Linked DNA regions of Kluyveromyces lactis. The protein of the gene in region 7 binds, or shares a complex with, the protein of the main gene of each other region. Links are inferred from orthologs where the notes say so. Each region holds a gene or a part of one and is shown on either strand. Other genes may lie near its edges. The genes, in order: MRPL23, MRP20, MRPL9, MRPL51, MRPL33, MRPL38 and RML2.

Evidence for each region.
Region 1: RML2 (region 7) and MRPL23 share a complex: the UniProt entries of both Schizosaccharomyces pombe proteins name them as parts of the mitochondrial large ribosomal subunit. The link is inferred for Kluyveromyces lactis from reciprocal best matches to the Schizosaccharomyces pombe genes rml2 and mrpl23.
Region 2: RML2 (region 7) and MRP20 share a complex: the UniProt entries of both Schizosaccharomyces pombe proteins name them as parts of the mitochondrial large ribosomal subunit. The link is inferred for Kluyveromyces lactis from reciprocal best matches to the Schizosaccharomyces pombe genes rml2 and mrp20.
Region 3: RML2 (region 7) and MRPL9 share a complex: the UniProt entries of both Schizosaccharomyces pombe proteins name them as parts of the mitochondrial large ribosomal subunit. The link is inferred for Kluyveromyces lactis from reciprocal best matches to the Schizosaccharomyces pombe genes rml2 and mrpl9.
Region 4: RML2 (region 7) and MRPL51 share a complex: the UniProt entries of both Schizosaccharomyces pombe proteins name them as parts of the mitochondrial large ribosomal subunit. The link is inferred for Kluyveromyces lactis from reciprocal best matches to the Schizosaccharomyces pombe genes rml2 and mrpl51.
Region 5: RML2 (region 7) and MRPL33 share a complex: the UniProt entries of both Schizosaccharomyces pombe proteins name them as parts of the mitochondrial large ribosomal subunit. The link is inferred for Kluyveromyces lactis from reciprocal best matches to the Schizosaccharomyces pombe genes rml2 and mrpl33.
Region 6: RML2 (region 7) and MRPL38 share a complex: the UniProt entries of both Schizosaccharomyces pombe proteins name them as parts of the mitochondrial large ribosomal subunit. The link is inferred for Kluyveromyces lactis from reciprocal best matches to the Schizosaccharomyces pombe genes rml2 and mrpl38.

What each region holds. Positions count from the first base shown.
Region 1 is NC_006040.1:209,979-213,685, forward strand, and holds MRPL23 (mitochondrial 54S ribosomal protein uL13m), read left to right. Parts: upstream 1-1,912; coding exon 1,913-2,380; downstream 2,381-3,707. Other genes in the region: KLLA0_D02464g (uncharacterized protein), read right to left, coding at 1-410; protein disulfide isomerase MPD1, read left to right, coding at 651-1,637; CRN1 (coronin), read right to left, coding at 2,725-3,707. UniProt on the Schizosaccharomyces pombe protein: Component of the mitochondrial ribosome (mitoribosome), a dedicated translation machinery responsible for the synthesis of mitochondrial genome-encoded proteins, including at least some of the essential transmembrane subunits of the mitochondrial respiratory chain.
Region 2 is NC_006038.1:503,783-507,924, forward strand, and holds MRP20 (mitochondrial 54S ribosomal protein uL23m), read left to right. Parts: upstream 1-2,353; coding exon 2,354-3,079; downstream 3,080-4,142. Other genes in the region: DNA-directed RNA polymerase II subunit RPB2, read right to left, coding at 1-1,573; sphingolipid homeostasis protein ORM2, read right to left, coding at 3,831-4,142. UniProt on the Schizosaccharomyces pombe protein: Component of the mitochondrial ribosome (mitoribosome), a dedicated translation machinery responsible for the synthesis of mitochondrial genome-encoded proteins, including at least some of the essential transmembrane subunits of the mitochondrial respiratory chain.
Region 3 is NC_006041.1:1,425,186-1,429,317, reverse strand, and holds MRPL9 (mitochondrial 54S ribosomal protein uL3m), read right to left. Parts: upstream 1,779-4,132; coding exon 957-1,778; downstream 1-956. Other genes in the region: exportin CRM1, read left to right, coding at 1-587; MRPL6 (mitochondrial 54S ribosomal protein uL6m), read right to left, coding at 2,121-2,765; snoRNA-binding rRNA-processing protein IMP3, read left to right, coding at 3,294-3,845; KLLA0_E15973g (SKG-like transmembrane protein), read right to left, coding at 4,109-4,132. UniProt on the Schizosaccharomyces pombe protein: Component of the mitochondrial ribosome (mitoribosome), a dedicated translation machinery responsible for the synthesis of mitochondrial genome-encoded proteins, including at least some of the essential transmembrane subunits of the mitochondrial respiratory chain.
Region 4 is NC_006042.1:775,575-779,374, reverse strand, and holds MRPL51 (mitochondrial 54S ribosomal protein mL43), read left to right. Parts: upstream 1-1,802; coding exon 1,803-2,231; downstream 2,232-3,800. Other genes in the region: KLLA0_F08371g (uncharacterized protein), read right to left, coding at 1-111; GCD2 (translation initiation factor eIF2B subunit delta), read right to left, coding at 2,442-3,800. UniProt on the Schizosaccharomyces pombe protein: Component of the mitochondrial ribosome (mitoribosome), a dedicated translation machinery responsible for the synthesis of mitochondrial genome-encoded proteins, including at least some of the essential transmembrane subunits of the mitochondrial respiratory chain.
Region 5 is NC_006039.1:552,514-556,273, forward strand, and holds MRPL33 (mitochondrial 54S ribosomal protein uL30m), read left to right. Parts: upstream 1-2,144; coding exon 2,145-2,399; downstream 2,400-3,760. Other genes in the region: NGL2 (RNA exonuclease), read right to left, coding at 1-1,530; KLLA0_C06292g (uncharacterized protein), read right to left, coding at 2,599-3,369. UniProt on the Schizosaccharomyces pombe protein: Component of the mitochondrial ribosome (mitoribosome), a dedicated translation machinery responsible for the synthesis of mitochondrial genome-encoded proteins, including at least some of the essential transmembrane subunits of the mitochondrial respiratory chain.
Region 6 is NC_006037.1:613,126-617,010, forward strand, and holds MRPL38 (mitochondrial 54S ribosomal protein uL14m), read left to right. Parts: upstream 1-1,853; coding exon 1,854-2,270; downstream 2,271-3,885. Other genes in the region: protein kinase NNK1, read left to right, coding at 1-1,392; putative serine/threonine protein kinase KKQ8, read right to left, coding at 2,561-3,885. UniProt on the Schizosaccharomyces pombe protein: Component of the mitochondrial ribosome (mitoribosome), a dedicated translation machinery responsible for the synthesis of mitochondrial genome-encoded proteins, including at least some of the essential transmembrane subunits of the mitochondrial respiratory chain.
Region 7 is NC_006037.1:182,159-186,724, reverse strand, and holds RML2 (mitochondrial 54S ribosomal protein uL2m), read left to right. Parts: upstream 1-1,899; coding exon 1,900-3,105; downstream 3,106-4,566. Other genes in the region: ERD1 (Erd1p), read right to left, coding at 1-505; KLLA0_A02013g (putative aminopeptidase), read right to left, coding at 3,278-4,399. UniProt on the Schizosaccharomyces pombe protein: Component of the mitochondrial ribosome (mitoribosome), a dedicated translation machinery responsible for the synthesis of mitochondrial genome-encoded proteins, including at least some of the essential transmembrane subunits of the mitochondrial respiratory chain.

The DNA.
Region 1 (3,707 bases), on a different chromosome or scaffold from region 7:
CCAATCTCCCAATTCCAAATATCACCACTATTGCCTGTGCCCTCACTGCTATAAATAGTCTTGAACTGACTGAGTAAATTGCATCCACATCTTAGCTGGCTCAATTCTTCCCGCTCGATTGGTGTAAATCTCGAATCCTGCAATGCAGATATCAAAGCGTACCTTTTCAAACCCTCTTCAATCTTACCTTCGGAAAACGTACCAATACACCCTCTAAGTTGGTATTCACCTTTCTTCAACTTCTTCCATGTGACAAATAGGGGACTCCGTGCAAACTCAGGTTTTAAACCTTTCCCCTGATACAAAAAATCGTTCACGGTTTCTAGTGTTATCTTAGGCACGCGATAAAATTGGCTGTATAACTGGTAGAAAGCATAAAATGCGTATGGAGAACTAGTTTCTAATGACATTCTCTAATCACTTGGCTCTGCTATTGTGTGTTTCCTTATTCCTTTGATGATGATGATGGGATCGTGTCCCCTTATTTCTTAGTTCTTATGTATCGATGTTCCTTTTAACGATTTCAAAATCAAATCTTTGGGTCCACTGCTGCCAAGAAATTCAACATCACTCGAAATTGACAAAAAGAGAAGAGAGTAAACCACCTTGTTAACTTCCATCGTTGAACATTTTCTAAAGTCCTCCAGACTATGATGTACACACGTCTTCTATATGCATTGTTTTTGTTGGTCGAACTGGCGTTCGGAGCCAATTTCTACGACCGTGATGAGAATATCATGGAATTGACACCTTCTAACTTCGATAAAGTCATTCATAGGACCAATTACACCACTTTGGTCATGTTTTATGCTCCGTGGTGTGGTTACTGTCAGGAATTGAAAGGTTCCATGAAATCTGCCGGTAAAATCCTCTCTGGAATGGTACAAGTTGCTGGAGTGAACTGTGATGAAAGTGTGAATAAACAATTATGTGCACAGAACAGAGTATCGGGGTTCCCAACGTTAATGGTATTCAGGCCTCCAAAGATCAATTTGGATAACCCAAAGAAAAATTCCAATGGTGCTGCGTCACAGCATGCCACAGAAGTGTACAAGGGAGAAAGGAAATTGAAGCCCATTGTCGATTTCGCTTTATCTAGAGTGAAAAACTACGTGAAGCGGTTGAACCGTTACAGTAAGTTCGAAGAACTATTAAAATCTTCAAGAACCAGGTACGCTGTAGTGCTTATCTCAAAGAAGGAGAAGATTCCAACTTTATATAAATCTGTAGCCCTCGATTGGCTTGGGATCTACGATTTCTATTCGATCTGGGACGAGAAATTGCAAGGCGTGTCACAATTGAGTTTTGAGAACGATACAAAGAATTGGCCAAATACTGTTAAATACCTCCAATCGTTAGAAAAAAGTGAAACTGAATTACAATCGCCCAGAATCGTAGTGATAGATAGAGAAACAGATACTTATGACGAACTAGACATATTAAAAACTACAGATAAAAATGACATTGCAACGTTCCTTTCGAAATTCGAGTCAAAACCAAGGGAAGGTCCACTCAGTAAGAGACAAGAATACCTCAAATCTATTTTGAATAAATCAAAGTCAAAGAAGTCCAAGACTAAAAAGAACAAACAGAAGACTAAACTTACGAAGGACGACATAGTTCAGGATGAGTTGTAGGTATTTGTTAGTAGCTTGTATATAGATTGTGTTTAACATCCGGGTAACAGTAATATGAGCGATTGAAAAAAATTTGGCTCCAAGCTGAAATTAAACATCAATTAATCAAATCGATTGTCAAGCTAAACATATGATGAGTTAAAAGACAACTGACTGTCCCGAACTATCCCTTTACCTAAGTGATTACAGTTGAATAGCATCACTTAAAATTTAACTTTTTAGGTGCCACGTTTTAACCTGTCAGAAAGGAGGCAAAATAACAATATATTAGAAGTATGTCTCAAAAGGTAGGACATACTGGTTTGGCATTTGCCAGGATGTGGCATCATGTTGATATATCCAAGGACAAGAGAACGCTTGGTAGGGTGGCATCTCAGGTTGCTCTAGCGTTAATGGGGAAGCACAAGCCAGTGTATCATCCATCTGCTGATTGCGGTGATTATGTTGTGGTAACGAACTGCCAAGCTTTGCGTGTGACGGGGAACAAGATGACCCAAAAGACGTACTGGTCGCATACTTCTAGACCAGGTTCATTAAAGTTGACTACAATGGAAGACATGATCAGTAACAAGGGTTACAGTGAAGTTTTGAAGAAGGCTGTGTCCGGAATGCTTCCCAAGAATAAACTTCGTAAGATCAGACTTGCTAGATTAAAAATTTTCGATGGAAGTGAACATCCATACAAGAGTAATATCACCGCATTTGCTGATCAGCAACTAGAGCTGCAACACCAGAAGAAATAGTGTGGATGAATTTTTATGTGACTTCTTAATTTTTGAGAAGTTAACGGCAGCATGTGATGTAAAATCCCTGTATATATTATTATTCGATCTAAATGGTTCTCCTTAGTACGCATACAATGTCTGTCGTTTTTCACTGTACTAAACTCTTCCACTTTACTATGTACATATAGATTGTTATTTAGATATGTTAATTATCACATACAAATCACATACAAATCACATACAGAGATAGAAAAGATATTACATCGCAGTATGCCAAAGCATAATACTTTTGCCTGGAAGAAAGAACATTTAACAGAACAAAAACGAGAAGAATTAGGGAAGGATGTATTTCATATTTGATATTATTTCCCTTGCTCCAAAAGACGATCTACTTTTGCTTCCAAAGCAGCAAGAATTTCATCTTTGCGGGTATTTTCCTCGGTTAATTTATCAATATAGCTTTCCAACTTTAGAACTAATCCAGATAATGTTTCTACAGATTGTCTCAAATTGAGAGACTTGTTCGTAGATGCTCCAGCTGCTGCTGCTGCTCCAGCTGCTGCTGCTGCTCCAGCTGCGCCACCTGTATTCGGATTGGAAGATGGCTTTTCTTCGCTGTCTTCCTGAGAAGGGTTCACACGGATGTTTGTTTCCACGCTAGCCTGTGATGAAGCTTCGACCTTTGCCTCTGGAGTACTTTCGACTTTAGAAGAAGCTGAGGCCTTCGAGGTAATTTCTGTAGACGAATTTTCTTCCTTTTGCTGTGGAACCTCTTCAGCAGCCTTGTCAGGTTCAGAATCGGTGTTAGCTTCCACCTTCACAACAACTTCTGGTTGTTGTGATGCTTTCACGATCTTTTCATCCTCAGAGTCCCATACTGAACTTTCTTCGCTTGGGTTTTCAGCCTCATTATCAGCATCTAAGTCAGAAGCCTTTTGCAGCAACTTGTTTACAGAAGCATCCTTACTCAATAGTTCGTCTACTTGGTTCTTGCCAGTGTCTTTTGCTGGTGGCATTTCTTTCCTAGCTGGACTACCAGAACTAGATGATGAAGCAGGACTTGGTGATGTTTTCTTACTTTTATTACTAGGCGTTAGTTGAATTATCACTTCATGCTTTACTTCTGTGGATGGGGATTGAGATGGAGATTGAGATGGAGATTTTGGCTGTTCTTTAGACTCTGAAGTTAATTCTTTGACTGGTTTCTTGGAATCTGTGAATTCAGGTTCGCTTCCATCATATAAAGTTTGGAGTTTGAACAAAATTGGGCCATCAACAGATTTACCCTCAACCCATTCAGCTGCAGATAATGCTGGTTTACTAGAAGGAGCATCAGGATAAATGT
Region 2 (4,142 bases), on a different chromosome or scaffold from region 7:
GACCTTCAGGTGTTTCTGCGGGACAAACCAAACCCCAATGTGTATTATGCAATTGACGAGGCTTGGCTAACTTACCATCACGGCCGATTGGCGTATTTGTTCTTCTAAGATGAGATAGTGTTGACGAATAAGTATAACGGTTTAAAACTTGAGAAACACCAGCTCTAGACGACATCGACTTCTTTTGTTCACCCCAGTTACCAGTAGCCAAAGCATACTTAAGACCGGCGGTAATGGTAGTGGCCTTGACAGCCAATTTAAGATTGAAGTCTTTAGCTTCTTCAACAGATCTTTGCATAAAACGTAGAATATCTCTTGTTAATTTTCTGAACAAAGTCTTGAACAATTGAGCTAACAAAGGTCCTGCCAAATCCAATCTTTTCTTACCGAAGTGGTCACGGTCATCTTGATCCTTACGGTCTAAAGCACAAAGCAATAGTCTATTAATCATATAACCTAAGAAGAAAGCTTTTCTGCTTTCAAAACCTTCCAATTGGGTAATATGAGGTAAAAATTCCTTTTGTAAAATATCTTTGGCGTACTGGATTCTTTTCTCCTTCTTGATACCCAAAGCTGTACCACGACGACCAATGAAATCCAAAGCTGTTTCTCTATCCTGAATAACAAACCCTTCCTCCACACATGGTTTCAACATTTCTAACATTTGCCAATCGTTGACATCATAACAGATATGTTCTAAGATTTCACCATCTGGAATGATACCTAATGCTCTGAAAATAATCACAATGGGAATATCTTGCTTGATATACGGTAAAGTTGCCTTGATGGTACGAGAGGTGGAACCTTCACGACCATACAACTTGACCTGAAGTGTACTGATAAAACGAGAGCCCTTTTCTAGAGCAGATCTAATTTCTGCGATATGTGAGATTGGAGAAGGAGCAGATTTCTTGAACACTTGGACAATATTACCTGCAGAACGTTCTTGAGCGATCAAAACCTTTTCTGAACCGTTAATGATAAAGTAACCACCCATGTCGAACGGACATTCCTTCAAACGATACAAATCAGATTCTGTCAAATCGTCCAACAAACAGTACTTCGATCTCAACATGATAGGTACTCTCCCGATGAAAATTTTATTATTTTCCTCATTCTCTTCACTTTCCTCAGTGATAATTTCGTATTTCAAATCACGACCTGGAATATCAATAGCCTGATAAGTTCTCTTCTGAATTTCCACAAATAAACCTGATGCGTAAGTCAAGTTTCTGAGACGGGCTTCCTGCGGATACATCGCATGAGAAACACCATCTGACTCAGTCATGGATGGTTTGGCCAAATAAATCTTACCAAATGAAATTTCATACTTTCTGGAAATGTTGTCCGTTTCAGTGGTATGCTGTGCTAATTGTTCCAAAATCAAGGTACTGTCTTCCAAGATAAGATCCTGAATCGTATAGTTGATGAATTGGTTAAAAGAATCCAACTGCTGAGATACTAAACCTTTTTCTCTGAAGAAAGCGGAGATAACAGTCCACGAATCTTCTGCTGAAATAGCAGCTTCTTCCTCATCGTACCCATATGGATCTTCATCATAGTATTCAGTCATCCTTGGTCTGTATTAAGAATTGCAAACGTTAATAATCTACACTGACCTCACAACCGTGGCAAATAATGCGTACGTGCGTGCTTATTATTAAAGTACAGAATAACACTCTTTGTTGTGTTGCTCGCAACCTGAAAAGAAATGTGTATTACTGGTCAAACAAAGAAGAAAACACACCCCAAATACAAAGAGTTAAGGACTTACCCAATAATCCGAAACAAACCCCACTCTGACAGAAGATGATTAAGCCGACTGGTACTCTCTTTTCTCTTCTCTCTTCCAATCTTCCTATTAACGATCAATCGGTAATTACGTTTCGCCTCTCAAAACAATAATATTTCAATTTCAAGCTTCCAGAGTATTTTTTTTCTTCACTATAAAGAGAACATCATTTCCCACGTCACAAACGGGTAACAGCATTTATTCAAAAATTTCAATATATCAGGTCACGTGAAGATCATTTCCTACGCTCTGATTTTTCCAATAAAAAATCTTTCTTCTAAAACATCCCAGAGCTCTCCAGTTTTGTACGACATATTCTACGTTAGATTCGTGCCAAAATGTGTACTCATCAGCTTTTCTAATATCTACTAACATGGAAAATGAGTATTTTAAAGCTTTTCATTGAAATGATTTCGATTTTAACATTAAGATTTGTATGAAGATGAGGCTTCTAAGAGACGCATACAAGAACAGGATTATTTGGGACTTTTCAGTTGCGAGTGCAGAGCGAAGTGAAGTAGTAATCTTTGCGCCAGTGTTTCTGTTCAATATCTATAACAAATGCCTCGTTTTTTCCCATCTCTCAAACAGGGTTTGAGAAACCTTGCTACTGCGGTAGAGACGGAATCTACAGTAGCAGTCAAAGCCAGTCAGTTCAAGAGACCTCGTCAATCCGTACAAAGCAGAATCTTGGAGTACACTCGTGAAGCGATTAAAACTGAGAAACCACATTTTAAAGTTGGTGGTGCAGAGCTCTATTTTCCTAAAGCGAGAGTTATTCTACTAAGACCAAATGCTAAACACACTCCATATCAAGCGAAATTCATCGTTCCTAAATCGTTTAACAAATTAGATTTAAGAGATTATTTATTCCACCTTTATGGTTTAAGAGCGTTGAACGTTACTACACAGTTATTGCATGCCAGATACACTCGTGCTACGCCGGTGTCGCCCAGGTACCGTGGTCCTCAAATCAAGAAGATGACTATCGATATGGCAGAACCATTTATCTGGCCTGCAGAACCTGAGGACAAGAGTGCATGGAATACTGAGTTCCAAAAGGAATTGGAAAAATACAGAAACGATAGGATGAGACTAGGATCCGACGCTAACAAACCTTCAAAGGCATTCGATGGTGTATTGGGACCATACCAGGAAACTGCAAAACCTTTCATTCCTAGATTCCTTAAAAGAAGACTAGTGAATAAGAAGGCTAGAGAGGCAAAGAAGGAACAATATTTGGAGCAAATCAAGAAGGTCAGTGAAGTCCTTGCTAAAAGCACATGAATTTCAGAGAATTTATTCTTTCATGAATTAAATTCTAGTAAAAGTATTACATCCTGTAAATATAATGTATGAAATATAGTACTGATTTAAAAACTGTCATAGCAAAATAATATGACGACTACTTGTGAACATTTTCAATGTTTAAATGAGAAATAAGTTTGAAGAACACTATATGTATGTATAAAAGATAAATACATTGTGGTGAATATTAAGGGAAAGTTAAGTGCAGTATGTCCCAGTTTGAAAAAAAATGAAGCGAAAAAAGAGTAACGGTATAAGATTTCTATTTGATTCCTGAATTTCCGTTGTATTGATCTTCACGGTTCAGGATGGAAGGGTTCAATAACGGGCAGGTGCTCATTTAATGTCATACTTAGTCACTAAACGGTTAATCTTGTTTCTTTTTTTCCTGTTGCTGATTATACTAAGATTGGCATTCTAATGTTCTTTATAAGTTCCTATTCCAATTAGTACACGGAGTTTCTAGTTTTTTTGTTCCTGTCTAAATAGGAACAGGATAATGATGATAATGATGATGAAAATAATAATAATAATGATGATGATGATAATGACGATATGAACGAAGCGAGTTTCTCCCAGTTCTGGTCAATTAGACAACAGAAAAAAACATGAGATATTTTATCGCTTCTGATGTGAACCGGAGAGGCAGGTAGAGAATCTCCTGCCTCTCTGTTTTTGTTTTTTTTCCTTTCTATTTTTAATGTTTGATTCATTCATTTGACTCCCTTTCTTAGCTGATTTGAGCAGGTCCTGTGATACCAGGAATGCTTATTCTTAGCCTGTGAGTTACAGGTAGTTTAGGAACCACAGCTACGAAGGTAGTTAAAACGAAGTTCAATAAAAATAGTTGTAAATCGTAACGGCAATAATGTGTTGACAAAAGAAACAAACCGATAGGTACCGTAATCAAAAACTTCCTAGTAGGCGTATACAACACCCCATCATCGATCTGTTCCCACATTGTTAGATTATCATAAACTCCTCCGTTGAAATCGAAAGGTGTACCTTTAATCAAATGGAACATGATATAGGAACCAACCAC
Region 3 (4,132 bases), on a different chromosome or scaffold from region 7:
CGTTCAAACACAACAACAGAGATGTTGAGGTAAATGGGTTACAAATTGCTTTAGACCTTATTCAAAACGTTGATTCCGCTAGTCCGTCTGAATTCTCTAACGATTTCTACAAGAACTATTACTTCACATTCCTTAGCGAAACCTTCTATGTCCTCACTGATTCAGATCACAAATCTGGATTCAGCAAGCAAGCTCATCTTTTAATGAATTTGATTGCCAGAGTAGAAGAAAATAGAATAGCTGTACCATTATACAAGGAAGATGAAGCTCCTGCAGTCACTTCTAATCAAGCTTACTTGGCTAACTATCTAGCAACCATGTTAAGCAATGCATTCCCTCATTTGAGTGGTGAACAGGTTATGAACTTCATTCAAGCGCTACTCAAACAATATCATGATCCAAAGCATTTCACTGGTACTATTAGAGATTTCTTGGTCCAGATCAAGGAGTTCGGTGGAGATCCAACCGATTATTTGTTCGCAGAGGACAAAGAACAAGCTCTCGCGGAACAACATAAACTTGAAAGAGAAAGAGCTTCCAAGATCGGTGGGTTATTGAAACCATCGGAATTGGATGATGATGAGTAAAGATAACACCTTACAGAAATGTACAGCATGGTCAAGAAACGAAAAAGTTTCTGCGGATCCAATGAAAGCTGAAACTAACACTTGTCAAGCAAGGCAAATATATACATAGCAGGCCGTATATCTTCCCACATAGAGAAAAAAATTGTAATCAATTCTCTCCGACATATACCCAGGATCCAGTATCAACGTATGAAAGCCATTAAATATCTGGTTGAAAAGGACACTCAACGTTGCAGCAGTTACTATTTTATAATTGGTGTATATACAGGTATAGATTGTTAATAATAACCGTAGAAAGGCATGCTTTCCAAATGATTTCGGGACGGTGTCTAAACGACTGAAAAGATTCAATTTCTTAATCACAGTTTTTTATACTGGGGTTGGCTTTTTGATAGCATCTTGGATCTTAACGAATGCACCATTTGGACCTGCGACAGAGCCCTTCACCAAGACAGTACCTGTTTCGTCGTTGACGTCCAGCACTTGCACGTTTTGAATTGTTACAGTGTCGACACCCATATGACCAGGCATCTTTTTCCCAGGCAACACACGACCAGGTGTTTGATTTTGACCGTAAGAACCACCAGATCTGTGAGATACGGAAACACCGTGGGATGCCTTCAAACCTTTGAATCCATAACGTTTCATTACACCTTGGAAACCCTTACCTTTGCTGATTGATCTTAAATCAACGTATTGGCCAGGCTTGAACCACGAAGGTTTGATTAAAGAACCCACTGGTAGTAGTCCAGATTCGTCCTTGACTCTAAACTCGGTAACTTTTTCCTTTGGATTCACAACATGTGCAGCGAAATGTCCCAACATTTGTCTGGTAACATTCTCCGGCGACTTGTTACCATAACCAATTTGGCAAGCCCAGTAATTGTTTTCAGCTGGAGTTCTGTGTAGTATAACTTCGTTATTGTCCAACTGAAGTACAGTAGCTGCTATACGTTTACCAGTCTCTTTCTCGAAATACGGCATCATCCCTACTTTTTTACTCAAAGCACCACAACGTAGAGGTAATCTTCTTCTCTTTAGCGCATTTTCTGGAGAATGTTTAATATCTACAGGATCTAGATGAATGCTGCTTGCCACGGATGGTGCGACTAACTTGGCACCGTTCGATACTCCACTTTGTGAGAAAAGTCTTGTCCAAATCTTCGACGAAGGACTGCCAATAAATGCCATTATTCCCCAATTTTCAAAGACTGGTCGATTGATAACAAATGTGTCAATCCAGATAACCTCTTGGCAATGCTGGAGAAACTGTAAAGGATTTAAAATGTAGTTTAAAGACTCTATTGAAACCTGTTTCCATCTCTGTATAATTGTTAAAGCTGTTTCGATATTGAAAATTTTTTGAATCGATAAAGTTACCTATAGATCACGTGATTAAAACGGCACGTAGTTCTCTCACTGATTTAACACAAATTAAGTGTGCCCTTGACGGTTATTGGAAGTGTATGTTTATGCTTCTGTATTTACATGTTATTTAATATTATAATAATTATAATCATCATTCTATCGTCATCATTTGATCTTCTTATCCTTGATCTTGATAGTTTCATTGTTAACGTAGATACCTTTACCCTTATATGGTTCTGGAGGATGGAATTTTCTCAAGTTGGCAGCGAAGAGTAGCACTTGTTGCTTGTTGACACCTTCCACGATCAACGACGTGGGTACCGGAGACTTAACTATGATTCCCTCTGGGATAGGTAGGCCTTGTCTTACCGACGCACCGACTTTGACGTTGACAAAGGTGTTATTTTCCTCCAATTGAGCTCTGTAACCGGTACCAACGAACTTCAGAACAGCCATATGGCTCTCATTCACGCCTGTGATATGATTATTTATATGAGATCTTACCGTCCCCCACATGGATCTTTGCGTCTTGTCGGTAGAATCCTTCACTGCAACTTCGATTTTTCCCGAAGATCCATCCTGCTTTATCTCCACGAAATCTGGGATTTCCATATCAATCTTCCCCAAAGGACCCGATACAGTTACGTTCTGAGATAACTTAAGAGATTTGTTACCCTTTCTGATGATCTTTGGCAGTTTCATTGATTCCACCACCAACTTGGTCTCCGGTGTCAAATACACCGGAGAAGAACCAATATGTGAGCGCAGAAGAGCCGACACAGAAAAGAGTCTTCTGGAAACAAATGTCATGGTAATTGTGTATATCCTGGAAATAGTCTAGCCCACTTTGCAGCCGCTATATGACTGGGTATATTAGATCAAATGCGTCTATATCAATCTGTTCTTCCAGCACTCATCTCTATGCGTCTTTCAACCAATTTTTCACTTGGAATCAAAATTTTAATAGTGAGATAGTATGGGAGGGTAACTTTAATTGCTTTGACGATTGTTAAATAAGATATACTTAGGCTGTTACTCTCGATTGGTGACCATCTAGGCCACTCCTGGGTCGAAATGGGATGTGGAGACTGCTCTTCGTCGAAACACAGGAGTAAATACCTTGTGCTTATATTATCCTGTGCATCACGTGACTTGTTGATCTTTGCCCTTTCTTTTTGAAAAATTTCAAGCTCATCGCCTACGCATCGTCATCTCATCTCAATTACTGAATGATATAGCAGGCTGAAGTGGTTTCAAGAGCGTTCAGCAAGTCATTTGGTGGTCTCATAGCCAATATAAGGATAGGATACTCCAAGCAGATACACTAGGTAATACAGTATGGTAAGAGCATTGAAACATCATGAGCAGAAGCTTCTCAAGAAGGTCGATTTCTACGAATGGAAACAGGACCAGAACCACAGAGATACGCAGGTGATGCGTACGTACCATATCCAGAACCGTGAGGATTATCATAAATATAACAGAATATGTGGTGATGTGCGTCGTTTGGCACATAAGCTATCGCTTTTACAACCTACAGATCCCTTCCGTATCAAGCACGAGCAGCTCTTGCTAGAGAAACTATATCATATGGGCATTCTTTCAACAAAATCCAAGATATCAGCACTAGAGAATAAAGTTACAGTCTCGGCTTTCTGTCGTCGTAGATTGCCTGTAATAATGCATAGATTAAAGATGGCACAGACACTCAAGGATGCCGTTCAATTCATTGAACAAGGTCATGTTAGAGTAGGACCTAACTTGATTACAGATCCAGCATATTTGGTAACAAGGAATTTGGAGGATTACGTTACATGGACAGATTCATCCAAGATCAAGAAGACTGTACTACGTTATAGAAACGCGGTCGATGATTTTGACGATGCCTAGATTGATCCTGCTATACTTGCCTTCGGAAGTAGGAAAAAGGGCAAAAACTATTATTTTACAAATTTGAAAGGAAAGTAAGTAGTAGTGGTATATATGTATCATAAGAAAAAGTATTCTAATTACAATCTTTTGCTTCGAGCTCGGTTCCAATGTATATGGATATGCCGGATAATGCATATAAACACGTAAGGATTGTATTCAACAAGACTCCAAAAGAGGTCTAAAAAAACAGAATGGTAAAACAAAGGGAAATAATGCTCCCTTTACATGACATTGTAATTGTGTGA
Region 4 (3,800 bases), on a different chromosome or scaffold from region 7:
AGGATCTTGGTTAATTGATGAATCTTGACTAAAGTCAAAGAAGGATTTTAATTCCAAATCCAAATTAGGCTGTGCTTCGCCATCATCGGATAAGTTAAGATATTGCTCCATAGGTAGCTTTTGTTTTAGGTTTGCCTTGGTTAGGTGTTCACAAAAGTTCTTTTTTTCTAATGCAGGGACAAAAGAAGTTTGCCTGCAGAAATGTGTCAAAAAGGTTTTTTCAGGTTTTCTCAGACAAAGCCGCTTAGAAAACGTTCTTGGGTTTTTGGTATCAGGTTCTTTCAATAGTTAAATTGAAAGCAAAATATATTTCAAACGAGCGACTGTATTTATTTTTATTGTTTTTAAGGTGGTGGTGCTATGATTATTGCAACTCTTCGAGTTCAATGTTCACACTAATTCACACTCCTTTTTCCTTTTTAAGGATAGACGTAAAGTTGGATCCAATGAATGATTTTATTTTTCTGTAGCGAGGTATTGAAGCTTCTGAAAACTGACGTTTTGAAACTTTCTTGTTTAGTGACAGAGAAAATAATTTCAAAAGGTATGTATGGGTAGGGAACCAAGTTTAGCGTTATAATCGTTTTTAATGAGCGTAGTAAAGTTAGGTTGTTGTTCGAGGGTGTTCAATCTTTAATTAATCTGAAGGAAAACTATGTATATTAAGAATTCTTCAATGACATGAAATAAAGGTGCAAGTAAAAGGTATGAAAATGGTAGTAAAAAAGTGCCATTTGCTGCCCTTCTTATATAATACAAATGTTACTTTGGACACGCTAATAAACTCTTAACACCTTATAAGTATTTACCGTTGATGAATTACCAAGTTCCAGTTAATTAGTATGGTATTCTTCTGCTTTTTTCCCTAAATTTTTTTGTCGCATTTTATACTGCATCGTTGAAACGCTTCAGTGAACGCCGTAATAAATTAAAGAAACGGATACAAACCTTGACTGTTCGCTACTTACAAGTGAATGTTTTTTAGGGGTGGTCATCGTTATACGCATCCTTAAAAAAACGCATAGAACTTTAATTTTTCAATAGTTATAGGGACATTATACGCACCATAATGATAAACTGGTGACTATTATGGCAATACATTTGCCTGTTCTTGAACAAAGTGTCATACACTTACATCACACTTAATAGGGAGTGCCCAGTTAATTGGTTTAAATGACGCATGTGCATAATTTTTTTAACAAATTACTAGTGTGCATCCAACATACGCTAGGTGTCAATCCGTACATTCCATGGGTGAACGCAAATCAGGCCCTTTATTTAATTAACCTCATATGAAGCCTTTGGGACATCTTGGATCAGAATCTGGGGCCTCTATCGTACTTTCTATGGATTTGCTCAGTAAAAGTACCCTTAACCAAACGCTGGTAGTGCATTATTGTCATAACCCATCGACAGATCATCAAGTTTACATGACGTATGACATCTCATGAGGATGTGTTGACATAGCAATGTGAAAGAAACAGAATATAGTCGGAAAGAGGTTCTGTATTATTTACATTCGTCACCTTATAGCAGTGTTGGTACCAGTATCTTTTTCATTTGTGTGAGCATGTGGTGAATTGTCCTCCTACCTTCGAATACATACAGATTTGTTCACGTGACTGATGGTCTTTTGAAATTGGAAAAAAATAATCATGAACTGAAAACTCGAATAAAACTCAAAAGATATATTAGTGAATCTATGTTCTGCATCTGAAGGATCTCTCCACAGTTTCAAAATACACCCAACTTGTTTTCTAATCAGAGCTGGTACCCGCGGTCATAAAGATTTCTCTGAAGTAATGGTTGTTAAAGTTTTGAGACAAACTTCTATCGCAAGAAATGGTGTTGGCGCTTTTGTGCTTCCATGTAAAAAGATCACTTTGCAATACTGTAATTGGGGTGGTTCCTCACAGGGTTTGAGAGATTTCCTAACGTCTAACAGAATGATTCAATGGGCTGAAAAATATCCAACAATACAGTTCGAAATAGTAAGAAAGTCTGGCCATCCAGTTATAAAAGGTGACTATGTTAATGGCCGTAATAAAGCCATCTGCGTAAAAAATCTGAACATTGATAATGTAGAGAATAAGTTAAAACTAATCAGAGACGCATCTGGTGAGCAACTCCGTCACAGAACTAAGAACGACAATGTGGATACTTTGAACGATAGTGTGAGAGGTATCTGGTCTCCACTACATTTAAGCCCAGCCATCAGACACAAGGTTTGAATCGAAAAAATGACTTGTGAATGGTAATATCGAGATCATAGCTTAACTTGTACATATATATAGCAATATCCTCGATGAAGCCGATACCTAAGTAAACAACCTACGATGTTGAATATTACTACGCAATTAATAAAAAAGAAGATCTATACTAATTTTTCATTTACTATATTATATGATATTATCGTATATTATATATGCAAAGGGCTCCATTCAAGCTGATGCTTTGTATTCTCTAAGAACCACGGGAACAGAAGATGGTGGCAACGAACCAAATTCTGTAATGATCTTCTTGATGTAGTCAGGGGGTGTTAAATCGTACATTATATTGAAGATGTGCAAATTAGGTGATTTCTCCCACTCTGCTAGTATTGGTTTATCCTTGACATTCTTACCTTCGTCGGCAGTAGCATTATTGGTATTAGCACTGCCAGATTTATTATTTTGCTTAGAGCTATTCTCGACTTCCTTCTGCTGCGCTTCACGCTCTTTGATAAATTGCTGTAATAAGAACCCATTGTTGTTACGTCTCTGTACAGGATTAGCAGAGTCAATGGTTACCAAATCGTTTGGATCAGCAAGTTCATTAGATGTGACACTATCAAGCTGTACCCTTTGAGAGAACTTTAAAGACTCACAGCATACAAGTACAGGAATATTTCTTCTGCTTGCCAACATAGCGATCTGAGCAGTACCGACTCTTGAATATAGGAAACCATTTGAAAGAATCGAATGCGCTCCCAAAAACACATATTTGATATCCATATTGAATACGGTACCCAATGCTGTAATGGGAACATACAAAACATTAAGACCTTGATTTCTCAAAGATTCTGCCATTTTACGACCCTCAAACAAAGGTCTACTGTCCACTATAACAATTTGGAAGTTCTTACCGAAATTTATGGCGTTGTGTAGGAATAAATCAGTTAAAACCTTGGAACAGCCATAGGTCAATATAGTGCTGCCTTCTTCAATATGTTGTGAAGCTGTTTCAATGATAAGTTGATCAGCCAACTGCACTCTTTCTCTAGCGAACTGTGCAATCTTATCACAAAGTTCTTTTTTGGCCTTTGAATCCGGTGTTGAAGGATCGATTAGAGAGATTTCTTGCTTCAACCATCTAATGGCATTACCCATGGTTACACTCAATGGTCTTGACTTCTTCAAGAAATCAATTTGATGGGACAGGTAACTTGTCAAATTACGTGAAAGAGTAGTACCTTCTGGAGTCTTGTAGTCTCTGACAACCAGTTGGAATGCCTCTAACATGGCAATACAACGAGGAATGGAACCTATAATTTTATAGAATGCATAATCCAAAGTCAGAGAGGTGATAGCGGGATGTAACATTTCGCGATTGGCAATCAATTCTTTTACAGAGGCAATCGATTGTTGATTTGTAAATTGTGAAGTCATGGTATTTGGAATGACGGATGATATTCCTGGGACAAATGAAGACGATTCATCAAGGGACAAGGAATTTAGCATTTGATGGGCTTCAAAATCTTCTGAATGAGCCAAACCTGCCAAATTAGTATTGCTTCCAGAAAGGTTTGAACTCAAAGGAGA
Region 5 (3,760 bases), on a different chromosome or scaffold from region 7:
AACAATCATGCACAAATGATCACTAGGATATTCACCTTCATGAGGTTGTCCATGCTCTGTCATTTCCTTGGCGGGAGGTATTCTTAGAAGCTCAAGAACTTGAACTCCATAATTTTGCTCAAATGTTGATAGCTCATCTATCTTAGTACAATCGCATCCATCCCATGATGTAACATAATACAAGTAGTCTAACAAACCTCTCCATGCATGTGCCCAATTAGATATTTCAGGTTCATTACGCTTGTTGTCCAATCCTGAGTTTTCAGGATGAACTTTCGAGTAAGCAATTGAATACAAGGATATAGCGCGCATGTCAATGTCATTATGAAGGGTTTTCATGTTCTCACATAACTGCTTTTGCTCTTCGTTGCCGGAAAAAGATTCTGGCACGGGGGTCTCAGGTTGACCTTTACCAAATTTTTCAATGTTGCCGCCTTCTTCTCCTTCTCCTTCATCCCCATCTCTTAGTTTAGAGAAGGTAAATGAAGTGCTGCACTCTATAACTGTTTTAGCCCTTCCGGTATATTCCACTGGTTTTGATGTGATGGACAAATATGGGGCATCAAACGGCTGAGAATTGAAATCGCCACAGAAAAATGCTGGCCAATGTGAATTATCACCGTCTTTTTCGTTTTGAAGAACGTTGATTCGATTCTGGAATTCTTTTACTTTTTTTAGTACAATATAGCATTGTCTTGTCCGTTCATATGTGCCAAATGGATGCCAAAACAAATGTGTGGTACCAATAATTATACCACTGACTTTGGTGTCTGGATATTTTTCTAGCACTTTCTTTTTAAACTTCAAAGAAAGCAACATGCCAACATTTTTGGTAGTTGTTCTTGGTTCAATGGCACCTGTTGTTTCTTTGTCGTAGTCAATTAACATCTTATCTGTCATATCAAATAGATCTTCTTTCCAAGCAATTAATACTCCGTGGTTTTTGGTAGGATTAAAATGGAATTGACACATGTAACCTAGTTTTGTGAACTCCATTTTCCAGAAAGACTTGTATTGAACCGTGTCAATTTCTTGCAAACACAGTACGTCAACATTGTAATATTTGAATTCATTGAGTAAAACTTGAGATCTTTTAAACCATTTAACAGCATTTCCGCTCGTAGGAAACAGTGTTCTTCTAATCAAAGCTTGGGCAAGACAATTATACGTCATTATACTGATTGGACATACCTCTCTCGTCGATTGGCCTGATGAATCTCGAGGAACAGCTAACATCGGCCTTTTGATAAATCTAAGGTCTGCGGGCAATTTTGGATCTATACCTTGAGCAATAAGAGCCTCTTTTTTTGCTATTTTCGCAGCTTCTCTCTTAGCTCGCATCTCAGCGATATACTCTGGAGTGATCTCATTCAAGGCCTTGCCTTTTTTCTTACTTTTCTTGTCCTTTACTTTATTCTTACCTTCTACCTTCAACTGGTCCATCCCATCAGTAATCGATAGCTTTTTTGCTTGTTCCACAAGCTCTTTTGGAACGTCTTTGACGCCGGTGTCTTGCGTACTACCAGCCATATTGGCTCAAATTATTACTTCTACTTTGCAGTGTATAGTGGCGATATAAACCTTAGAGAGATCTAACCAACCATGGCGTTAAGAGCTTGTTAATATGATATATATATATATTATTCAATCGGGCATAAATATTGGAAAAAAAGAAATGACATATATATATATATATATATACATAACCAAGCAAATGCCCCTCCTAAGACAATTTCAATGCAACTTCATATTCAGGAAGAAATATTCAAACAGCGAGATATAATCTTGAGATCTTTATATGCAATTCCTGGTTCTTTCTCAGTAGGTAGCACTTTCCTGCGACGGTTTGTGAGAAGTGCCCAAATGACATACGCGATGAGCTGCTAGACAATATACATCACATGATATCACTTTATACGTTTTGATGCTATTTGAAAAATCAATGTACGTTGGCTATTAATGGTTTGAATACCCAGTTAATCTCTTCGATAATGATGCACAAGATCTCTTAAAAGAGCGTTTTTTTTTGACATAGTTCTCTATATTGTCAACGAAACTTACGACCGAGGAAATTATACTTCATTACTGGTATTAGCGAACGGTTTCTAAAAGCATAGCTATCATAATAATTTTCAAAGATAGCCATGGTTTTCTACAGAATTACATTACAGAGGTCAGTCATTGGTACTCCACAGAAGACTAGGGCAGTGGTCAAGAGTTTAGGACTCGGAAAAAGAGGATCTGTCGCATATCAACCAGCTACACCATCTATTGCAGGTGCTGTCGCTCAGATAAAGGAGCTTGTGAGCGTTGAGCTTGCCGATAAAGCTTTAAGTAAGGCAGAACAGCGTGAGCTAAGAAAATCAAATCCTGGATTTACTGTCGAAAAGAGAGTATAGAAAGGATCATACCAGACAATATAACAAACAAAGCAATGTACCAGAAACATTTAACAGAGAAGAAACTGGGCTCACAATGAACATCTTCTGTTTTACATAAAGAAAAGGATATTAGGATTTTCATGTATATAGAGATCAAAGAAATATTAATCTTATTCTAATGAGGTATTTGAGAGTATCATATACCAAACGTCTTTATTTAGAAGACACCGGTGACTTCTCTGGTGAGAATATTCCTAGGCTGTTTCACGTATTCGTCGTCACCATCTTCACCATATTCATCATCGTCAAATGCCACCGAGAACGAATCTACAATTCTGAAGATATCATTTTTATTCATAGCTTTTCCATCAAAACTTAGTTCTATACTGTCATTTGCCGAAAAGAATTGATTTTCTTGAGCCAGCAATTGATCAACTCTATTGTACAAATGTTTTGTTTTAGGTCTTTGTGGTAACCTTTGAACACTCATATTCTGGGAGATATATTTGCTCAAAACAGCTGGTAAAGCGTCCAATGTGGTATAACCGAATCTATTGTCATTACAAAGTTTGAATGCTTCAGCTGATTCATGGGTTTCGTTGATCAACTTTGTTATCACGGGAGAAATTTCCATGTCTGATTTACTTGATATTGGAACATCTATCTTGTAAATGATCTTAGAACTTTGCATTGTATGATACTCTAGTTTTACATTGATCTTTGGAGTATCGTAGTTCAAGTTCTTACTTGGTGGCTGTGAAATTCGATTGAATTGCCCAAAAGTATTTGATGTGTCTACATCGGCGATGTTTTGAACTTCTAATATTGGAGGAGACGACGATATGTGCTGTTTGTTTGGAGACTGCCGAGTTCCAGAACCATTCTTAAATTTGAATTTAGTACCCTTCGTCTTACTTGAAGTATCGTTGAATATATGCGTGGTGTTGCGAATGCTAGAACGATTTGATAAACGTCTTCCCTCTGTCATCGTTCACTCTACTATAGTCTCGGAATTTCAAACGGGGTCACCCAGTAGTCCTTTAGAAAGCAACTATATATCCGTGATCTGCTCAACTGTATTGACCAAATGCTTTGCGAAAACTGTAGGACATGTGGATCAACTACCAACCATTGGGAGTGGTATGTATAATGTCTATTGCCTTGTATTTTAATGTTCTGTTTTTAGAGAGTTCAAAATGTCAACAATAGTTGTGTTGACAATTGCCTAAAAGGTACAAAAAAAATTAGTGGTATTTATTATGTAATGCATAATGACGATACAAAAATATGCAAGAACAAAAGTTGGTTTTATGCAAAAATCCGAAAAGTAATTGATGAGCAATACGTACGTTGAAAATGTCTACAAAAATGGTATATTT
Region 6 (3,885 bases), about 430 kb from region 7:
CCATTTTCCCAACGTAAGAAGATCATACAGGATTTAAGTCCCAACCATGACTATAAGACTATTATGAACATTTTGAAACGTGAGAAATTAAGCCACAGTGGCTCAACACATAACGTGAGATCCAGACATGGATCAGTTGCATCGAAATACTTGAACTCTTTTACCCCCGGTTCTAGTTCTTTCAAGAGGGACGATAAAGGGTCTTTCATTTTGGGTCATAGACTTGGCAAAATAATAGGGTTCGGCGCTTGGGGTATGATCAGGGAATGTTTCCCTTCTACAGATGAATCTCAAAACCAGAATAATACTTGTTGCAAGGCGATGAAGATTATCAAGTTCAAGGACAATCGAAGTGTAAAGAGGCAAGTACTACGTGAAATCTCAATATGGTCGAAACTTTCCCACAATAATATTCTTCCTTTAACAAAATGGAAATTAGACGATGATCTGGTGGCATATTGTTTAACAGATAAGATCGATCATGGAACCTTATACGATTTAGTTGTTTCTTGGGGCGAATGTGGTAATTCAAAGATTAGTTTAAGAGAAAGGTGTCAAGCTACATCCGCCTTAGCGTTACAATTAATTGATGCTGTACAATATATGCATTCTAAATTCATTGCACATGGAGATATAAAGTTGGAAAATTGCCTTCTAGAAAAAAAGTCTGAGAACTACAAAGATTGGAAGCTTGTATTATGCGATTTTGGCATGAGTCACTTTTATGGCCATTTCAAAGATCAGATGGAAAATGAATCAATTCAACTGAAATCCCTATTTGATGGGTCTACTCTTCACTTGAAACGAAGACCCTCAATTCCAAGATCTTCCTCTTCAACGAATAATTCTTCTTTACGGTTGAAATCAAGGTTAAGACAAATAGTGAACGATAAAAAATTAATTCATGATGATACGACTTTGGGTATTCACTCCGTACCAAAGAGCACTCGTTCTAACCTAACCAGCTCGTTGAACCAAAAAACAGACATTACATTAACACCTAACAAAGATTTGCATGAACATATCAACGATGACATGAGCAGAATTGGCTCTTTACCATACGCTGCTCCGGAGTTACTAGAACCCAACCCTCCTCCCATTGGACCAAGCGCTGATATATGGGCCATTGGTGTTTTAATTTTCACCATGCTTACCGGCAAATTACCTTTTAAACATGAATACGAGCCCAGACTTCGTGCAATAATAACTTCAGGTAAATATGATAAAACGACACTACGCCAAGTTTGTAACTGTGATATGAACTCGAACTTGGGTGTAGATGACCAGGTGGAATTCCAAGGTCTATTCAACGCAGTGAAGGGCTGCTTAACGAAAGACTTAACCCGGAGATGGGAACTTGATATGGTGAAAGTAGCTCTGGGTAAGCATTGAAACTAATCCTAAACTAACAAAATATTTTCTACTATTCTGTCCTTGTCAGTTATAACCCTTAATTTTTAATTCAACAAGCATACCAATAGCATTAATAGTAACGCATACTGTTACATTGACCTTTTTTCTGATGTTTTACCATTCTCAACAGCATAATACTTAATAATTTTACTGAAGTATATAACGATAACTAATGAAAACACCAGCTGTCTTAACAATGACGGCGTTGTAAGCACTTTATTTGTATGTAGTAAGCGTTGATAATGGCGTTGATTAGCCAATAATAAATCAATCACGTGATATACATCAATTATGGGTTAAGAAAAAATTTGATGAAACCAGACATAGAAAGCTTTAATCCTTTCTCTAACGATAGTCCAGGAAGAAAAGCTGTGCTTTCCCGATCAGTAGCAGCCTGCAGCACACGACCTAACTGAAGTTCACACTGTGACTGTTATAACATGATTTATTTGAAGTCTTTTTTGAAAGTCATTGACAACTCAGGTGCTCAAATTGCCGAATGTATCAAAGTACTTGGAAAAGGTTCGCCAAAATCTCCAGGTAGAATAGGTGACAAAATCGTCTGTGTGGTGAAGAAGGCTAAACCATTAACACAAACTATTACTGGGCAATCCAATAACAACAGAGTGAAGAAAGGTGATATTGTACACGCTGTGGTGGTACGTACCAAGCAAAGAAATATGATACGTCCTGATGGATCAACAATTGCGTTCGGTGACAATGCTTGTGTATTAATCAACAAGAATAATGGTGAACCTCTAGGGTCAAGAATTATGGGTAACGATGGTGTTGTCGGCAGAGAACTAAGGGAAAAGGGCTACAACAAGATTTGCTCTCTAGCAAGTAAAGTTTTGTAAATATGTTTCACCACTGGTAAATATCGATTACGACTGCGCAGGGCTTTTAGAATCATGTATATAGATAATAAAAAATAGAAAATATCGTTAGTAAAGTTTATGAAAATGCCATGATAAATATGATGGATACGCGACTACCAACTTATTGCTCATTGACAGTGATATCAATATTTTATAAGTGTTTCAAAGAGATGTATGTTTATCTTAAATATAGATAAAAATGATGCGAAAGAAACTAATCTAAATCTGCCAAAGTAGCAAGGCCTTCAGCTATGAAACAAATTTTGGTGTTACACCGGCCTTGGTGGATATGTAACGCAGCATTTTGTCCTCTTCATCCACGAACTTTTTAGCAATGAATCCACCGTTATCCTTTTATTCGGATCAACTTGGAAGATATGATAAAGTGCAGCAGTTCTGTACCGGTTCATACCTGGAGACACATGTTTCATTTCGTCAAATACATAATATTGTCCATGTTTTTCCATATCCTCGAGGAATGCGTCATATACTGAATCCTTGCCTTTGATAGCAATTTTCCATAAATAATGGCCTAAAACCATAACACAGTAGATAATACCACAGCTCCAGCAATCAACTAGTCTTGGATCGTATTGTTGTTTTGGAATAAACTCCTCAGGCGCAACATAAGGCTCAGATCCTGCTGGTCCGGTTTGGAAATGTGCTTTCTTTTCCCAGGCTGTTTGGAACACAGAACTTGTACCAAAATCACATATTTTTAATACACCTGTAGGGAGAAATAGCAAGTTTTCTGGTTTAATATCACAATGAGCTACACCGTGAGCATGCATGTATTGAATACCATGTAGTAGTTGTTTCATGAAGCAATCTGCTTCTAATGGATGTAAAACTGAATCAGATTTTGAGCTTCTTGTAATCAAGCTGTATAGATCACCTGAAGGGCAAAATTCCATTACTTCATAAAATGCGTTAGGTGTTTGCATTAAATCAATAACGTTTAAAATGTTAGGATGTGTTCTTGCCGAAGATCTTCTGCTTTTGTTACCACCACTCAACGATAATCCTATCACAAATTCTGAGGTTAGTCTTGTGCTAAACTTCTTTGGAGGCTCATCAGGTCTTGGCTTCAGTTCTTTTACCGCATAGAATAACTTGTTATCATGGAAATATGTATTATCTTTCAGATCAGGTTCATCTGGGTCAATAAATTTATAGCATAGTTTTACAACCCCATAGGCACCTTGTCCAATGATACCGATCGACTTCCCGTATTTCTCACATAAATGCTGCTTTCGTGGAGCAGAAGAAGGTTCATTGGAGGAAACTGCATCAGACTTAGAGCCCTTCAAACAAAATCCGTTATCGATCTTTTCGGTTAATTGGTTTATCAGTTTCAATTCGTTAGCACCAATGACGGATTTTTCGTTAACAATCTTTGGTACATTGGCTGATTTATTTGGTCCCTTATAACCATCTTCATCAGATTCGGATTCGTCATCAGATGGGTTCGAATTTCCAGAGGACTGGTTGTCATAATCCGCATCTGAATCGGAATCAACACCATTATTTCCATTATGCTCAAGTTCCTCATCCGCATTATGATTACCGTTTTCCTCGTCTATTATCTGACTGA
Region 7 (4,566 bases):
CTAAATCCACCAATGGCTTAGAGTACGAGGTCAAAGTATCACTAATTATAATATAGTTATTCCTATACGGCTTTGGTTCAATGTCAGCTACCCAAAGTATTCTTTTAAAGCACCTTGCGACCATTGCTGATGACCTTAATATCATTGCAAATATGTAAAACAACTCCAGTAGTGGTGAAACATTCAAAAAAAACCAAAGCAATTTGTTGGATACGTTATTAGTGAAGGAGTATTGGAATAAGATTATACATACCAATTGCCACGGTATAATGACTCTAGAGATTGACTTGAACAGTTTCAGGCTTGATTGGTGTATTTTCGTGGATGTGTTAAAGTAAGGTAGTCCCGTGGACTCATTGGATACAATTACTTTGGACACGTCGTAGTAGGATACTGATACCTTCAGGAACCATGTCCATAGCCATAACCCTAATAACACAAGGACAACAACTCTCTGTGGGATCGGTAGGTAAACCAGAAAGGGTTCAACAGATTCGGCGTCCATGAATGCACGTATAAATAAGGAATCAAAAAAATGTAACAAAAAAAGGAGGAATAGAAGCAGAAGAAATCCCTTTCAGAAAGGCCCTGTGTGTATCGCTAACGGTTTAGATTTGTGGTTCACTGTCTCAGAGCTCTGTATAATCTAGGATCCTACGTTTTTAGTCCTAAGATAACACTTTTATTTCTATTGACATCTTTTCAAGACGTGTTTACAATTCAGATACCGGCACCAAAAATAAAAAAACACACACTACCGAAAAGCACAAGTTACAAGTACAAGAATGGAACAGCTAATGCTATATATAAACGTATTCAGGACTGTTAGAGATAACAAAAAGCGTGTTTCTAATCCTTTAAAATTTTGAATTTTATTCATGATTAGCATGGAAACTTTTAGTTCATCATTAATAGGTCTATATATTTAAGATAGAGAATGCCGAGTAATCCACTGACACATCTAACGTACACTTCGACTACCCGAATATATCCGGAAATGAAGAAAGTCAAACAAACAAGAAGATATAACTTGTACTGTATTGCCTGGACAGTTTATTTTAATAAAGTAATCGATTGATCAGAATTTTCAGTGTTTGGCTAATGCTAGTCGAATCGTTCATATTTTCGAAATCCGTTTGGGGCGACAGCGGTCATCATAATCGATATACTCAAAAAAAAAACAATCCAAATGATGGTATTTCCATACAGACAGTCATTATCTTCGTCGTTCCTTTTACTTGTTCATTTCCCGACATGAAGAGGAATTTGATTTCCGTTTGAGTTCAGTAAAAAAGACAGAATACGTTGCGAACAGGAACTCCTGTTCCTGATACACTACAAATCGAATCCTTGTTGGTTATGTCTCTAACTCTAATTAAAAGCTTTGTAACGGATAATAAAGTATTCGTGATGAGATAGAAACTTACCTCAAAATTTTTCACTTTTCCAGTTATTTAAACTAAAAACCATAAAACAGAAAGAATAGTCAATCTAACCATGAGAGACTGGTCTGCCATTAGGGCACAAAATAAGTACACAAAGATTTCCTGAATCACGTGACCAAATATTATATAATCCGGGTAAATTCAGAATACGTTCATAGTGATACTTCTTGCAAAAAATTCCATTTGACGATATTCCTCTGATGGTATTGAAGCTGTTTGAAATTAGAGATCGCTTGAAAGATTTTGATATTAACAAAAATGAACAATGTAATTGCAATGACTTAAACATTTTAAACTATGGATATTGATATATATAAGGGTGGATATATCTATAACAAATCTTATTAAGATCAGAGTTATTTTATTATTTCTGTGAAGGGCAGTAGCAAAGCGGAGATATTGGTATTAGACGGTTTACCCTAAGAATCTCGTTAGGTGCTCTGGATATAATATCATGTTCAAGCAATTCAACTTGAGATGCCTGACGCCGCTTGCCAGCGGCGTCTCCTCAAGAGTTCAAGTTCCGTGGAATGTTTCGATGATAATGTCTTTGAACAATACTTCACTTGGTGGAATCAGATCTATGGCCAGCATCACTCCAACCGGGAATGAAGAACAATCTTCAGTTGACGATGTCAATGTCCATATGTTGAAAATCGTTCCTAATAACACAGATGTGGTAGCACTAGAGAAGCAAGACGAATTGTTAAGAAGAAGAAGAAAGTTGGCTAAGGAAGTTACACAAATGAAGAAATTGAAACCGGTTTCTCCAGGTTTGAGATGGTACCGTGCGCCAATTTATCCATATTTGCATAAGGGAAGACCTGTTAAATCTTTGACTCTTGCCAAGAGAGGAAATGGTGGTAGAAACCATAGTGGTAAGATCACGGTGAGACATCGTGGTGGTGGTCATAAAAGAAGATTGAGAACAGTCGATTTCAGTCGTTTCGAATCTGGTATGCAAACTGTGGAAAGAATCGAATACGATCCTGGTAGAAGTGCACATATTGCATTGATAAAACATAACGATACTGGTGCCCTAAGCTACATTTTAGCATGTGATGGGCTAAGAGCTGGGGATACCATCGAATCATACAGAAAAGGTATTCCACCATCATTTTTGAAAGAAATGGGTGGGAAGATCGATCCTGCCATCTTATCTGTTAGAACAGCTCAAAGAGGTAACTGTCTACCAATCTCTATGATCCCAATCGGATCCATCGTTCATAATATTGGTATCACTCCTACAGGTCCAGGTAAGTTCTGTCGTGCTGCTGGTTCTTACGCACGTATCTTATCCAAGATCCCAGAAAAGAATAAAGCTGTTGTCCGTCTACAAAGTGGTGAGCACCGTTACGTATCATTGGAAGCTGCAGCTACCATGGGTGTTGTCTCAAATATTGACCATCAAAACCGTTCTCTAGGTAAAGCTGGTAGATCTAGATGGTTGGGTATAAGACCAACTGTCAGAGGTGTGGCAATGAACAAATGTGACCATCCTCACGGTGGTGGTAGAGGTAAATCTAAGTCCAAAAAGTTGTCCATGTCTCCATGGGGTCAATTGGCCAAGGGTTACAAGACAAGAAGGGGTAAGCATCAAAACAAAATGAAGGTTAAAGATAGACCAAGAGGTAAGGCTGGTAGAAAGGCTAGACAATGATAAGCTTCCCCACAACTGATCCTATCTTAAATATCATCAGTTTTTGTAAACTTATTTCAATGACTTCCATCCTGTAAATATCGTAGAACTAGTTAATTTAAAGAAATAACATAACATCTGTTCAGTTACCAACTCTATTTTAAACAAAGTTTAGATTACTACATCCAGAGCATCATTTGGTCTCTTCTTCCAGCTTAAATTCCCAGTTCCCAAGTTCGAATAAGGAACCAACGACTAACCTTACATGCTGGGCCATGTGATCAAATGAAAGTCTGTCTAAAGTGTCCATCGTACTGTGAATGTATTTGTTAGATTTGTTGAACTCACTTTCAATGACAAAGGAAGCGGGGAATCCATTCTTCGTTGCACTTCCGTGATCACTACATGCATATCCACATTCCGTTTCCACGTAAGGAATATCCAAGAATCTTCTTATAATCAACTTAATAAATTCAGTTAGACCTGGCGTGGTATAATCAGTAATGACACCAACATGCTCATTTTCTGGATCTTCAACATATCCGGTCATATCTTGTTGCAACATTGCGACGACTTTTTTGTTCTCCTCTGCATACCTGGTGAAGACATCCAAAGAACCTAGTAAACCACCTTCTTCTGCACTATAGAAATGGAACTCAATGGTGTTATTGGGTCTGTAACCTGTTGTAGAGAGATGTTCAACGTATAATCTCAATGCCTCTAGATTGGTTACGGTACCAGATCCATCGTCATCAGCTCCTGGCGCAGCAAGTATCGATGGCAATAAAAGGTTCATAGAGTCCTGATGCGATCCCATTACGACAATGTTCTCGGGAGTTTGTGCTCCTTTAATCGATACGATGATGGAGAATTGCTTCCAACCTTTATGCTGAACATGTTCAATGACAACGTCATTGTTCAATGGACTAGTGATGTTAGATAATTTCTCGGAGAGCCAAACAGCAGATTCGTACCCCGTGTCAGATTTGTAATAGCGAGTGTAGAAACTTGTGAATTTTGCCAAATTATCATGCATTGAAACCTTATCAACTCCCTTGGACAACGAATTTACAATTTCGTCGCATTGAGTTTCCTTCGGATAACGGTACACTGGCACAACAGCCTTTTCATCTTTGGACTTAAGTAATTTGGGAAAATTGGTAATATCCATGAATTGCACTCCTTTCCTCTTGAGAGACCATTTCTCGGTCTCTCGTACCATAATAGTCTTACCTTCCTCGATCTCAAGAACATGTAAACTATCAAATGGCAAAGCTGCCACAGAAGCTGCCAACAAGAACCACCCAAACTTCATAACTAGCCAATCTGATATTTGCTACGGAGTTGAAGCAAAGTATACACCGGTAGATGCTTGTACTGTCCCTTTTAATACAGTATTTATCCACTTGTTTCTGAAGGGAAAAAGGGTTTTTTTGACATCTAAGTAGAACTAACGTTGTTTAGAAGTTTAGTGTACATATT